Drosophila melanogaster: one gene and its partner. Changing the gene in region 1 together with any one later gene gives a genetic interaction. Each region holds a gene or a part of one and is shown in the gene's direction. Other genes may lie near its edges.

The links. A genetic interaction does not mean that the proteins touch.
Region 2: of tsh (region 1) and Dfd, changing one enhances a phenotype caused by changing the other (phenotypic enhancement), as found in Drosophila melanogaster (one study listed by BioGRID).

Annotation. Positions count from the first base shown.
Region 1 is NT_033779.5:21,826,664-21,830,627, forward strand, and holds the start of tsh (teashirt), read left to right. Parts: upstream 1-1,929; 5' UTR 1,930-3,142; coding exon 3,143-3,195; intron 3,196-3,964. UniProt on the Drosophila melanogaster protein: Homeotic protein that acts downstream of Arm in the Wg cascade during embryogenesis to determine segment identity throughout the entire trunk.
Region 2 is NT_033777.3:6,789,836-6,793,435, forward strand, and holds the start of Dfd (deformed), read left to right. Parts: upstream 1-2,000; 5' UTR 2,001-2,489; coding exon 2,490-3,276; intron 3,277-3,600. UniProt on the Drosophila melanogaster protein: Sequence-specific transcription factor which is part of a developmental regulatory system that provides cells with specific positional identities on the anterior-posterior axis. Homeotic protein controlling Drosophila head development.

The DNA of each region.
Region 1 (3,964 bases):
CACTTATTTCTTTAATAGTTTTCTAAAATATAGATCAAAACAACATAATAGGCAGATATTCTGGTGTTCACTGAAAGAGCAGTGCAATAAAAAAATATTAACAAAATTCAATTTGACTTAAAACTAACAGTTTTTCTTATTAATGTGTTGGATAGCCTCTGTTAGCCACCACCTACGCGGCTTGGAGTCCACCAGGTCCTGGCAACGTTTGGGGGGAATTTTTGCCAATGCATCCTGCACAACTTGCCAAATCTGAGCCTTAGACGTCGGGGAATTATTCGTCACATATTGTATAATGTCCCCCCACAGGTTTTCAATCGGGATTAAATCGGAAGATGGTGCTTGCCACGGCATTGCATCTATTCTATTTTGGGTGAACCTTTTCTTAACCGATTTGCTTCTGCCATTCGGATCATTATTCTGTTGGAATTTCCATTTTAAGGGCATATTATAATAAGAATATGACAGTAAGACATCCCTTAGTATATTTACACATGCGTTTTGGTCTATAATACCATAAATCATATGTTATGGACTCATACCATTGTAAAAAATAAACAAGCCCATACCAGTATTGCAGGTCCACCGTGATTGAAAGTCTTCAGTGGGTGTTTTGGGTGGTACTCGGTGTTTGGAGGTCGTCAGATATAACCATATGAACCAGTTCCACCAAATAGCACTATTTTTAACACATCAGTCCAGGGGATATTACGCCATTTGGAGACTGGCCAGTTTAGGTGGGTTTTAGCGAAGTTTAACCTTGGCTTAAAATGCCTTGGGCTAAGTAGGGGCACCTTTCGTGGACTCCTCGCAACTAAATTTTGATTCAGTAGTCGTCTCCGTAAATATGCATAGGAATCAAGGCAATGCTCGGTTACCGGTTGATAATTTTATAGAATAATGTATATAATGTTTTATAATGTAATGTATTATAATGTATCGAAAGTTACTATTTTATACGTTTGTCAATTTATGTGAAAAAGTACATGCAATATATAAACTTAAGGTAACCAGGGTCGGCACAAAGAAAAATATTGTAGATGCACTTATTAGACGTGATCTTGAGTATTAATGATACTAGTATTTAAATAGTATTCAATGCTGTCATCTTTTAGACTGTATAAAGGCACTTATTAAACCAAATTTGTACTTCATTCGGCTTTATACTTTCATATGTACATCAATGTTCTTACACAGCCTTACATTCACGCATTCACAAACATTGACACCTTGCCATGAAAACTAATAAAATCGCGGCATTTTGGCACATTTTCAGAGGAAAGAACGGCCGGAGTGTCGCTAATTCAATTGTTTTCGCAGCCAAAAAGAAAAGTGGAATGGGTTGATTTCAAGTGAAAATTGCCCCAAACCACTTTTCCACTTTTTCACTCTCCTACTCGCTCGCACAGCAATGCAACGAAACAAAAGAAGCGAGATCCACGAAGAAGCTGCAGAAAGGCGAACAAAAGTTGACAGCAGAGGGTATGAAGGAAGGTGAGCGAGAGGGAAGAGGCTAAAAGTGACGAGGGCGAAAAGCTCAGAGAGCAACAACTACTGTTTATTTTGAAAAGAAATAAAAACAGAGCAGGGACCGACACAGTTTGAGTGGCTGCGAGCAGGACGGCGCATGCGAGTGAGAGCATTTTTGTTAAACTGTCATAAATCTTAATTGTGATGGAATCGGATTCGGAATAGGACAAAAGAAGGGTGACGAAACGACAAAACAGATTTCACACACTTTCGGAGCAAGCGAGACGGAGCGGTCCCACAACGCTATCTCTTTCCCTAGCGATTTCCCCTGTTTCAGTTCCAAGCGTTCACTTGCCAGCACAGGGGAAAGTCTGCGCTCTTGTCGCTCTCTCTCTCTCTTCTCTCTCGCGCTCTCTTTTGGCTACCCATCGGTTTCGGGTTCTTTTCGCCAAGAGTCAGTCAGTCGACAAGAAACCGTTACTGCGTACGATCGTGCGAAAAAGCTCGGCGCACTTGGAAAAATCGTACGGTAATTAGTTAGCCGAGTGCCGGCGAGTGCGAGCGAGAGAGTAGCACATTTAATCACGCTGACAGCCAGCTTGTCCTGCAAGGGTGTGGGTGGCACACACGGCACACACAACACACACACAAGTGCGCAGCCGTCGCCAGAACGCAAAATCGAATCAGAAATTGCCGTCGCCAAAACGCGGGCTTCGTGTTTGCTCGTCAACAGCAGCGCAGCTTCCAATCGCTGCGCGTCCGTCGCGTCGCTTCATTTTTTCATCCGTATCAATCAGTGAAGGCAGAGCAGCAGCGCCCCGTTGTTGTTGTTTGTCAGCTTGACAGCGACGGCAGCGCAGCAGCAGCGCACCGGCAGAGCACCGCAGCAGAGGCTAGTGACGAAGGAACCCGGCCAGCGGGATTCAATCGCCTTTGGACTTTCGTTCGAGTAGTGACGACGAATCCGGATGAGAAGACGCACGCATCGCGACCCGCGGTTCCGCCAGAACAGTGAATTCTCAGTTTAAAACGCGTTTTTGGGGGAGGATAGAACGAGTGTTTTCCAGGCCGCCATCATATCTAGTCAAAGAAGCAGAGGTTTGATACTCTCGAACGCAAATGCTCGATCAAGACTGAAACATACGAGAAACATACAACTACAAATGGTTCAACAAAGTATACGTAAAACTACCACAAGCTAAACAAAATATACCACAAAAATATATTTATTACCAAAACTAAAGATAAACTATTGCAAATATTTACATTAAACGGTATTTAATTCACCAAAATTACACTACATACATAATGTAAAGCCAGTTACTTAAATCAACAAACCTTAACGAAGTATACGATTCAATGCAATTAATAAATTAAATTTAAATCAACACAAATTAGGAATTAAAAATACAAACGCCTCGAAACGTCATTTTTTGTCTGACATACGAAAGTTTATAAATTACAAAATCCAAAAAATATAAATTAATCAGTTATACGCTGCAACAACAACAAGTTATACTACAACGTACCAAGTGCAAAACAATAGATTATATGATCATTGTGTCAAACTAAAGTTAAGTTCCAAAATCCAACTAAAATCCTCGTTGTTTGCTCCAAAAAGAGCAAACCATCCAAGTTCCAGCAAACCGTCAAAATTCAGCAAAATTTAAAAATGTTACACGAGGCTCTGATGCTCGAGATCTACAGACAGGCGCTAAATGCCGGGTAAGTGTTATATGGAAGATTATTTCCATAGAACAGTGAAAGATGTAGAATTAAGAAAAAGATTCACATGGCCTTATTCGGGGGATTCAAAAATGTGACTACTCTGGGTATGAAGGATAAACGAACTGAGATTTTACTACCAAAGTGCATCAAAGTGTTTTTCATTATGAAATAGTGAAATATTGAATTCTTAACTAAAAGTGGCCATACTCAAAATATTCACATATAAAATAATTACATTCATCTCATTCAGTTAATATTATTTTTTTGCAATTGCTTTTTATGTGCGTTCAAGTATCTGGTTAAATAGAATATTATATATACCAAGTATATACGACATATATTGAATATAGAACGTTTTCAATCAAAATCAAAAACCATTGTCATTGTGAACTGATAGCCGAACTTGTTGAAATAGTATTGCAGACTCTCAACCACAAATCGGCCAAATAAATATATCAAGAAACTATGATTTCATGGCATTTGATGATTGGCATTGGCGGTTCGGCGTAGTCGCACACCTGTCGTTATAAATTCAGCGCCTCGCCAATAGCGCGCCCATATATCACAACACCCACCCGCAGAACCAAGAGTACTGAGTTCACGACTACGAGTCCAGACCCTCGGATCGGGAAAAGCAGAACTTGATTTGAAAAGGGTGGCTGGCAGGGGAAATCCGAAAATAACAGAAAAATCGCCATAGTTCGATGATGGGATACTAACTTGGGGTAAGCGTTTGTGTATCTGTATCTGGGTTTCTCTGAAATTA
Region 2 (3,600 bases), on another chromosome or scaffold:
TTTAAATTTTCGAGAAATATAATAATGTAATTTAAAAGCAATTATATTTTTGGATTTGGACCAAAGTTATTTGTAAACAAATATGCGTAATGAATCACACAGTAAAATTAGTAAACATGGAACTTCCATTAATTAACACTAGCTGGTCAATTAATTCGAACACTTTAACGTGGAATGAAGACCTAAACCAACATTTACTCCTATGAGTCTGGCCGACGGACCACAGACTAAATTTAAGTTTTATAAACTTAACTAGCCTAATGACGTTTTGATGGTGACCATCAAAATCGAATCAGTTGGAAGTCGATTAATTAGTGGCCATGCCCCTATACCGCTCACATATGGAACTGGTGAAGGAGGTGGCACAGCACGTGGACCTGATTGTAAGGGGGTTAAGATATTTTTGGTGGGTTTACCGGAGGTCCAATTATTCGGCAATTAGCCAGAGTCACTTTCAGAAACACACTCCAGAAGTGTGACACGAATTTATGCTCAATTTAACTTTTATTTGAAGTGAGTTAGGGCAGCTGGCTCTATAGGGTCAGCAGATTTCAAACTTATTAAAATATATATCACAAAAATTTAAAATCTGTTGAATTCATTAAGCGAAATAATCAAAAGTTTGTATGATATTACCTATAAATAAATTGTTAATATTCCGCATTGCTCGAAGTACGAATTTAAAAGTACAAGCCATATTTTCTTTTACCCACATTATGGATTGTTATGAATCAGTCTAAATATTTACTAAAAACAATATTAAAGCATTAAATATCCAACCTTCTCGATGTGCATTATACAACAATCATTCTATTGATTTTCCACGTTTCGCTTGCTCCATTTGAATATGTGCCCGTCATCGCCATAACAACAACATCGGAGGAAAAATCACGGTAGTAATGACAACAATAATAACAGCCTTAGCCCCAGCCAGACCACAACAATAATCACAGAGGAGAACAAAGTGATATTCGTTGGTTGTTCAATTGAAATTGTTGCAAGTCAGCTCGGACTCTCCAACTCGGTAGCTGAATTCAGACGAAGAAATCGGCATCCAATAGTACCGTCCCCTCTTTACGATCAATACTGTTGTTACCCACGCGTTCTCTGCATCGTTCCTACAGAATCCATTTATGAAAGTGGAAAATAAATGGTGTGCTCCATATCCACACTTACGTCTTGTCCGGGATCGATGAAAGCCTTCTGAAAATGGGCGGAGTTTCTTGGGTCCAGACAACTTTTTCGTCGAGTTCAATTTTCGAGCGTGCGCCATGACTTTGAAGGTACCAGCACACTCACAGCAAAAGTACAACCAAAATAGTAAGTCTGAGGGAAGAACAGTCGAGGGTAGGTAAGTAGGTGTGCTAATGAGCTAAACAGTGCTGTTTGAGATATAAATATAACATTGAATCAATTCAGAAATCCTATTTCTCTATGTAGACAATTGCGTTTTTAATTTTCTATTCGATTTACTGTCATTTCAATTTATTAATCCTTGGAAAGTAAAATAAGCTTATTTCGTAAAAAAATAAATAAGACGTTACTAAAATATAAAAAAAATATATACACTGTACAGTAAAAGTAAAATTATATTTTAAAGTTTTAATTAATGGCTTTTTATTTTTTTTTTTTAAGAATACTTCTTTGAACTAGTTCAATATTGTATGCCTTGACTGTTCACGCAACTCAAAATGGGTGTGACCAAAGATCTGGCCATCCCGCTTTAACCACAATGCTCCCTCTCAGTCGCGCTTGCGAGAGAACTATGGTCAGTGGTGGAAAATGGCGTACGAGGCGAAGGGTGAGAAAAGGTGAACAGACATGGCTGCTACATATGAATGGCTTTATTTGTGCGCGTGTGTGGGCCGTCCTTCGATTGCTTCGGCAGTGAAAACCCGTTTTGATGGCAATGGCGGTGAGAGAGAGCGAGCGAGAGCACAAGCAAACAAGAGCGAAGAGTGGCGAAACAGGTTCGCTCGCACGGAGAGTTATCGCCAGCGAGCATAACAAAAAATCGGCTCGAATGGGACGGTTCGTGTTCGCAGCGCACTCGTAAGACCGAAACGTCCGACTTTTCTCCCTGTGTGGGATTGAAATTCGTTGTAAAAACGTTTTTTATAACCGGAAAATAACACCATAATCAAGTTTCTCAGAATTCCAAGGCCCCACGGCTTTTAAAAGTGACAAAAAAGTGCAAACAAAGTATAATCAAAACAATAAAAGTGAAAATTATGAAGACAACGGGAGCCTTCTAACCCCTTTGTTTAGTTAAAAATATTAAAAAGAATACGAAATTTATTTTAACCAACACAATCTTAAAAGTAATTACTACTTGCAAAAGCAGCGCCTTTAATCAATAGTTAATGTACTAAAAGCAAAAGGTTCGGAGTATGTGCAATCCAAGTGATAGTGCCCAAGAAAAAATCGAATAACAAAGTAATAACCAGGAAAACGCATCCGGTGAACCCCGATCCAACAGACCTTCCGTCATGAGCTCTTTTCTCATGGGTTATCCGCATGCACCACATCATGTCCAGAGTCCCATGTCCATGGGCAATGGCTTGGACCCAAAGTTTCCGCCGTTGGCCGATGACTATCATCACTACAATGGACACTATTCGATGACCGCATCTACGGGTCATATGAGTGGTGCCGTCGGCGGTGGTGCAGGTGTTGGGTCTGTCGGAGGTGGTGGAGCAGGTGGGATGACTGGTCATCCGCATTCCATGCACCCGGCGGACATGGTCAGTGACTATATGGCGCATCACCACAATCCGCACAGCCACTCCCATTCGCACACCCACTCACTACCGCACCACCATAGCAACAGTGCAATATCTGGACACCACCAGGCATCCGCCGGCGGTTACAGTTCCAATTATGCCAATGCCACTCCGCCCTCACATCCGCACTCGCATCCACACGCCCATCCGCACCAGAGCCTCGGCTATTACGTCCACCACGCCCCCGAATTCATATCCGCAGGAGCGGTGCACTCCGATCCCACGAACGGATACGGACCGGCGGCAAACGTTCCAAATACGAGCAATGGCGGTGGTGGCGGAGGAAGTGGCGCAGTGCTCGGAGGTGGCGCAGTGGGTGGATCGGCAAATGGATATTACGGCGGGTACGGTGGGGGTTATGGGACGGCGAACGGAAGTGTGGGCAGCACCCACTCCCAAGGACACTCGCCGCACTCCCAGATGATGGATCTGCCCCTTCAGTGCAGCTCCACGGAACCACCGACGAACACGGCGCTGGGACTGCAGGAATTAGGTGAGTCCATACTAATAGAATTTCTGTTGTCTCTTGGAATCCGTTGAGATTTGATAGGAGGATATACTTAGTACTATTTCAATAATCTGAAGATTATCAATCGATCCTTATATTAAATATATATTTATATTTATATTTATATAATTATTTTTTTTATTTATATATCAATTCCATAGCAAAGTCATTTTACATTCGTATATCCAAACCTTTTAAAATGTCTAGGGAGCAGATTGAGAAAAACACTTAAAATAAGCCCACAAGATTGTTATGCCGCATAGTAATATTAAAAAAGATCTAATATTTTGTACATATATAAGCCCTTCA